2 linked regions of the Drosophila melanogaster genome follow. The protein of the gene in region 2 interacts with the protein of the main gene of each other region in a pairwise test. Each region holds a gene or a part of one and is shown on either strand. Other genes may lie near its edges.

The links.
Region 1: the proteins of CG10301 (region 2) and CG1314 interact in a two-hybrid assay, tested with the Drosophila melanogaster proteins (one large-scale study listed by BioGRID).

What each region holds. Positions count from the first base shown.
Region 1 is NC_004354.4:20,867,233-20,871,251, forward strand, and holds CG1314 (uncharacterized protein), read right to left. Parts: upstream 2,166-4,019; 5' UTR 2,108-2,165; coding exon 971-2,107; 3' UTR 757-970; downstream 1-756.
Region 2 is NT_033777.3:23,708,173-23,711,943, reverse strand, and holds CG10301 (uncharacterized protein), read right to left. Parts: upstream 1,787-3,771; coding exon 1,494-1,786; intron 1,428-1,493; coding exon 1,055-1,427; intron 940-1,054; coding exon 685-939; 3' UTR 606-684; downstream 1-605. Other genes in the region: CG10300 (uncharacterized protein), read right to left, coding at 85-386.

The sequences.
Region 1 (4,019 bases), on a different chromosome or scaffold from region 2:
ACATTTTCTTTTTTTTTTTTTTTTGCAACCGAATAAAAAGGACAGAAAAGTATTTCGCGGACAAAGCAGCCAAAACCACCTCCGCCCACCCCCGGCGGTGCTGTTGCAACAATAACGGTACATTACAAGTGCCAGGCAAAAGCATCGAGTTAGTTAGTTTGCCGCCACAAGTCCCCTTGGCCCCTCTCCACAACACCCCTGTTCACAATTTCTGCGGTCTTGTTAGTCTGGGCTGGCAAGTTGGTTAAAAAGTTGTTGATGCAGTTACTCCTCCTTCTGCCCGCCACGCCCCCTTTTGCGACGACATTTGTGCTAATGGCTGCCAACGACCTGGACAGCAAAACCGAACAGCCCTTGTCCCCCTCTTTTACGACGCCCCTGCCCCACATGGCAAACATGTTGCATACGCTGCGGCGTAAGCGAAAAATTTCCAGCGAACAGCTTTTTGGCCAAGCAAACACACAGCGGGTTAAGTGGGCGAGTTTGCCACAACATTTGTGTTCAAGAATAATTAAATTAAGCTGTCAGTCTGACCGAGAAAATTGCAAATACACTCAACATTATGATGCACTTTCAAATGTACACATACCATACATACAAGTTTGAACTCAAAGGGCCGATTTAATGGCAGTTCGAAACTATTATTTATTTTATTTTATTATCGACTAAACAATTAATTATTTAAACCTATTGAACGATGTAAATGGCACTTTCAAACTAATTTGTCATCGCATTAATTAATAACAATTTAATTTTAGTTCTAATAAGGAATTTGATCTTTACTGATACAATTTTGATGAAAATTTACAAGATTGCATATGTTGAATTGCTTATGAGATATGGTATTTCGTCCAAGTACAAAGTGATCCAAAATAATTTAAAAAAACTTGAAACAATTTTTAGGTACAGTATCAAAGTAATGCAAATAATTTTGAAAAATCATTCCAAAAATCATTGTGATAGACTGCGTTTAGTTCGCTTGAGGCCCTTCTGAGTTCCCAATAAATACCTCCTCCTTGGAGGTATTCTCCTTTTCCGCAAGTTCTATTTCGATGTCGTCTTCGCGAAAGGTGCCCTCATTAGGATTAGGCGATATGGGCCCCACTCTACCCTCATCCTCTAGAATGGTGAACTGTAGGTCGACGTCCAGCGTGTAGTCTTCAGTGTGCTCCTTCATTTCGCGATGTGTGAATCGCATAAAATGCGGACTGTCCGAAAGCAGATCGCAATTCTTCAGGGTCTCCGAGCCTTGACAGGTCTGAATCATCTGCCGACGTGGCACTCCCGGAGTGTTTTCTCCGATATTCACGGATACCAACAAAGGCGTCTGGGCCTGGGGACAGCACAGCCACAGAATATAGATATGGGTCACTCGCGGTCCGACGGGCATCGAGTCCCAGGAAGTCTTCCACAGCATTATCAGGACGGGCAATTGGCACTCCCAGTCCTTGTAGATATTGGGTAGATTTAAGTTCCTGGTCGCGTTGTTGCCACTCTCGTAGATCATCAGACCCACACAGTTGCTTTTGCCCCTGTCCTCGGGCAAGGATTTTCCACACAGCTTCAGAACCTTTGGCTCCTTGGGCTTCATTTCCATTGTAATAATGTGCTCGTGGTGCATCAGGCAGTGACTTAGGAGCTGCTCAGGATTGAACATCAAGTCGCAATTGCTCAGCGGACAAGCCATGTCCAGCTTCTGCAATCTCCAGTATTTGCGCACCTCGACTGCAGTATTTCTCAGCCGCTCATAGCGAATTTCCGGAGAACTGATTCTGCCATGTGGGGAAGCGGAAATGGCTTCTGCGCCGCCGCGCATGGGCACTCTTCCGCCCGCCGGAAGAGACAGCTTGCAGTCCATATACAAGCGCCTACGGTGATCGGGCATCAAGCTGGTGAAGCAGATCTCCACCTCCTCATCGGTATCATTACCATCGTTCTCGTTCTCCAGACGACATGCACTCGCCATCACAGCTTCCGGCGTGGTGTCCAGGGAGTACTCCGACTGAGCGAGATCCAGGACGGCAGATATACCAATGCCAGACTCGGAGCACCTACAGAATGCACCGGATGTCGATGGTTGCTCGCCCTCGCAATTGTTGTTCTCCATTTAGGAATTTTTAAGAAAATGTCGGTTTTTTTTTTTTGTGATTATAATTCTGTGTGAGTCGAACTGTTGACGTCTCGACGTAAAATTATACTGATGACAGAAGGTTAGAACAAATGAAATCAACTTTTGATTACTTATTTCACAAACTACTTGTTTATTTTTTTTTTCTAACGGTTTCAAGTTAATATTATGTGATTCTTTTAATGAGTTCCATGACGGAGTCACGAGCGTGGAATTATCGTCTTTAGAAGAGATTCCTAGACTGCAACTGAGACAATGCTATCAAAACTCTGGAGAACATTTTGTTGCATTTGTAATTTCCGGTTTCGCACACACATGCATACATAGTTGAAAAAGAAAATGCGAAAGAAAAATGTGTCAACATACAAGACAAAGCAAAACACAAACAAAACTCAAGTTGCCTCTGTAGAACAACGAAATGCAACTAGGGGTAAAAAGGGGGGAGGGGGAATCGCTTCCAAGGGAGAGGGCAACAGTCGGACTAGGACTGCAAACTCCCTGTGGCCACCCCCCTCCCACGCCACTACTTTCGTCCACCTCCCACTGGCAACTCCTTTAGTTTCAAATCGACAATGGAATGAACCGCCGCAGAGGAAGTGCGGTCTATTGCAGTAAAATCGGAGTTCAATCAACATATGTCAAGACCTTCAATAAATTTAAAAGATTATGACTGATTAAATCAAAACAAATTTTAAACCAATTTCATAAACCAATTTCATAATAACACTGATTATTTGGATAGCTTTTGTTAATTTATTCACTGTAATATGTATTAGATATTTAAAAACTTCTGTATAGCAAGTGTATATTTAAATTGATTCCGATTGTAATTTATTTAAGCTAATGAGGACAAGATGCATGAAGAGATAAAAACATAAATGAAGAACGTTATTTCAATTAATAAGTATTTTTTGGGACCTTTTATACATTTATGTCGCGCAACTTGGTAACAATAATAAAAACGAGCTGAGTCACGTGCTCGCGCCGTTTGTTTATGGCTTTCTCCCTTTTACTTCGCTTTTACTTCATTAGTTTCGAGGGGAAAACTCCACCTCTCTTTCCTTAGCCATGCTCCCTGGGTTTTCCGCTCTTCCCACTTGGTATCGCTTTTCCTTTTCGAGCTTTTGAGCTGCAATTGTCAGCTTACAGTGCAGCCAACCGCAAATGGCAAACAGGCCAAAGCCGCTGTATCTCTAGATTCGATGATATCTTTAAGACGGATTTTCATTGCTTACCGTTTGCTTTAATTGAGTTTTTACAATTTGATATCTACCTAAAAGGAAAGTAGCCTTCTTCATCATAAGCAACCCTCACCTGAAACAAATAAGAAAACATTTTTGTCAGCGAATCAGCATTCAAGAAGTGCTTGTATTAAGAACCAACAAGGAAAGGATTTTAAAAGGTCAATTGAAGAAAATTCAACTTTGAGCTCGCACATTTGCACGCACACAGACCCCCGGGATGCAGTGGGGTTAAGCGAAGGGTTCATAAGGCACATATCCACACATAAAGATTTCCATTTCCCTGCTGCTGTCTTGACAACAACCCAGACAACAATGTGTAAAACAATTGTGCTCGCAGTTAATTTGTGTGGTACGACAATCTAGTATCACCTCAGCACTCGAAGAAAAAACGCGCAGAACATGGGTTCTCTTATCGAAAAGGATGGAATATCGACAAGGAACCATATATTGAGCAAAGTAAACTGCGCTAATATTGTCATTATCTCCAAAGTTTATTAAGCATTTAATGATTTTAATTGCGAATATCGCCTGAAATTTTGTTCGCTTGCTGAATGCTCAGTGTATGCTGTATGATAATATTACTGCGAGTGACACTCGCACACATGGCGTATACGCAATGTGCCAAAGTTTATACGAAATTAATGTTA
Region 2 (3,771 bases):
GAAAGCTGTATTCTGTATGGTTTTGTGAAATATTTAGCAGCCTAAGGCAAAAAGGGTATATAGCAAATGGAACATTCAACCCACCCGCGTTGCAACTGGGTGAGCAGGGCCTCGTCCACCTGTCGGGATCCCAGAACCTCCGGGAACACGCTGCGCAGGGAGTAGTAGTTGTCGAATCGCCGTTTGGTCTCCTCCTGGCTGAAACGGCAACGCCGCAGAAAGGCCAGGATAAGCTGCTCATCCGTGGGCGCCTTAAGGTGCGGCGACTTGGTGATCCATGTCTTAATGGTGGCAATAATCTCCGCTCGCTGCGCCTGCTCCTCGTTGCACTCACTTTTGGCCAGAGCCGCCAACTTTGGGTCGAGAGTTCTCAGGGTGTTCGCCATTCCGGCGCTCGGTTCATTAGTAACTGAATGCCAAAACCACTGACGCAGCGCCGTGGTAGTGATGGTATTGGCTTTTGCGGCGGCATCGCTTATCTAATCGGGGCAACACCTTGTAAACTAGCTGGAACGGCGAGCCGAAACCCGTCGGCAGTCAGTTAGATATAGATACACGAGTGCATAGATAGTTGATAAGTGGGTGTTATCTTTAATTGATCGACTACAGCAGAGTTTGGAATGTTTATATGGATAAACGCTATTGTGGGAGGGAGGGTCTAGGTTTCCTGCTTCCGTGCTGGTATCAATCCCAATTGAGACGACGGAAGGAGCCATTGGCTCCAAATTCCGCCTCATATGTGGCTATTTCGCCGTGCCGCAGCTCCTCAATGGTCCCGTAGTTGCAGTCCTGCTCGAAATAACCACGATAGCTATTCAACAGGTCCTCCATGTAGGCCACACATTCACCCAAATGTCCATTGGTACCGCCATACTCCTCCGGCAGCGATTCCTTGCCAATGTGCTCGATTAGCTCTTCGCTGTTCTTCAGCACGCGTATCTGAAATAAGATAAACATATCTAGCCTTAATTGGTACTGAATCTCTAATGGTTACTTTATAAAAACAATTTTATCACGAAGGTGATAACTTGCTGATTAAGTTATCAATACCCACCGGATAGTTGACTTGCATGCTAAGCACGTTGTACAGAAACATGACGGTACCCTGAATATCCTTGGGCATATTTATGATATACATCTCCTTCACTTTAAGGGGGCTGCAATTGTAGAGCCAGTTCCACCATTTGCGAAATAGAACCCTATCAAAGCGTCGCATCTTATCCGAGTTGACGCCCTCGAGGTCAATTATTTCGCAGATTCCCGCCAAGCTGGCATAGTCATTCTCCAGCGCAATCACCTCCATGGCCATCGACGAAAAATGATAGATCTCCCGCAGCATGTACAAATTGGGATCGAAATGACCGAAACGGGCTATAAACATGGCACTACGGCTATCACCCTTTGGCATATCCGGATAGAGACAAACTCTAAGAGCAAAACCAGCGTCTTAAGATAAATGACTAACTTCAAATGTTGGAATAACATTAGCTCACCCCATCCGATTGATGTCCAGAAGTCTTTGAGTCACACAGCGGTTATTCATGATCTCCGGAAATAGATTGTAGTGGGTGAAGTAGCGATCGATCCGGCGCTTGGTCTCCTCCAGGCTGTAACGGCAGCGTCTGAGGAAGGCGATCAGGAAGTCCACATCTGTGCGGGCGCGCAGATGCGGCTGCTGGCGAATCCACACGCGCAGGATGATAATATCCTGCTGAATCCTGTCGGGCGTCTCGTTCACCTCCTGCTCGGCCAACTTGGCCAATGTCGGCGAGAGCGGACGTCGCATTTTGGTAACGGCTATGCGGTGTTTGATGGCATTTGGGCCATCTAATTTGCCTATCCGTGCTCCCCCATCTGGTGGTGGGTGGCCCCCTAATCTAATCTTATCGCCGAGGCGAATCGGATTGGGAAAATACGACCGCTGCATGATGGTCTATGCTTATCTATACGCATTTGTAACTTGCACTTTTTTCCAGCTCGGAAAATGGGATTCGGATATGTAAGTATGTTTGGGAGAGAGTGACATGTACTATATATGGGAAAAATAGCGCACATCCGGCGCCTGGAGATCTCTTAAGTGCCCATCTCGTGTGCATTTGGGAAATGGTTGCAGATGCACTGAGAATAAATTAGTGTGGAATGTTATCCAGAAGAAATGAGTATGAACTTATATACTTACATTCAAATACATATTTTATTTTACAAATGTGCGTGCCATCTATTGTGGCATCAATATTTTCACTTCAGCCTTCAATTTGTCCCCATTTTTGTTAGTGTACCAGAGTACCGTCTTTTGAAATGCGATCTGCGTTTAATGCCCGAAATAAATCTAACGCTAAATGGTATCCAGTTCGTCGGTCGTCCGTGCTGTGAGCATTGAGTATTCAATTTGAGTGCCTGCCTGTCAGAGGGCATTACACACCGACATCCCGGGTAGGTGGCGATGTGCCGTTGGAGTTGACATGGAACACCTACAGCCGGGCAAATTGCTATGACATGGCGCTGTCAGCTGCTGACAAGCCGGAGAGCTGGAGATCTGTACAACTGTGGAATTGGCGATCTGGGCTCCCAGGAAGCGGATCATCTACCCACTCCGTCAATAACTCATAACACATTATGGCCATGGGACTGGGACTAGGGAGGATTTGGAGTGAGTACATCCAGTGGAGGCTGTGCTTTGATCTTGCTGCTGACAGGGCAGCGCGTGTAAATTCCCTTTGCAGCCAGCTCATTGCTCATGACGCAAACATATCGTTGCCATATTAATAATGAGCCTCATTAACAGCTCGCTGCACTGCATCATCGCACTCAACACATTGCCCAATGTTGCCACTGCTTTCCTATGTTGAGAAAGGGTGAGGGTGTGGCGGCATGTAATTGACACACTCATTGCTGATAAGTGTATTTTGTTGTAAGCACTTCAGATATGCAACCAAACCCCCGGAATGCATATGCTGCACTTGAGGCAAGTGATGGATGCCCCAAGGAATCGCTGAAAATCTTGACACAAAAGGGTATGGGATTAATAACCCAGTGATTGTCTTACTGACGGCTAAATCAGTCTGCAGAAGGACCTTTGTACTTAAGAACACTGCTTAATTACATACATAAAAAAAAATAATTACTAAATTTTTAATATATATAATAATATAATAAATGTAAAATTCTTCATAGTTTCGTGTTTATTTTAAGCCATTTTGTGTGGTTAAGATAATTGTGCATTCACTCACATACTATTTGCTCACAATTAATTTTAATTATTGAATATTTAAAAATATAATATAAATGCAAAGTTAATAATGCTTTTGAAAATTTTATCAAATCAAAAAAGAAAGTGCATTGCTGCCACAACCAGCAGTCATATGGATTTATAAGCGTTTCATGTTTTAATTTATAGACTTACATAAAACGCCCCATTTTGTGCTCTAAGTGCGAGAGAGAGAGAGCGGAAAATGCGGGGAAAATGCGAGGAAAATGGGAAAATGCATTTGCTTGGCGCTCAATTGACAATCATATTTATAGAGCATATTGAACAAATAGACCAGACACCGCAACGCTAGCCCAAAGATAATATTCGGTTGGCCGTATAAGTTCCCGCTCGACTGCCAGTTGTCACTCAACTTGATCCGAGATATGTTCCTATATACTACATAGAACACGCATGACGTTTGTACTTTGCCGTTCCCCAGCTCCCCCCCTAACACCAAAAATAAAAAAAAAAAACAACATGAAAAGTAAACGGCAAATGAAATTTCATTGTAAACAGACGCG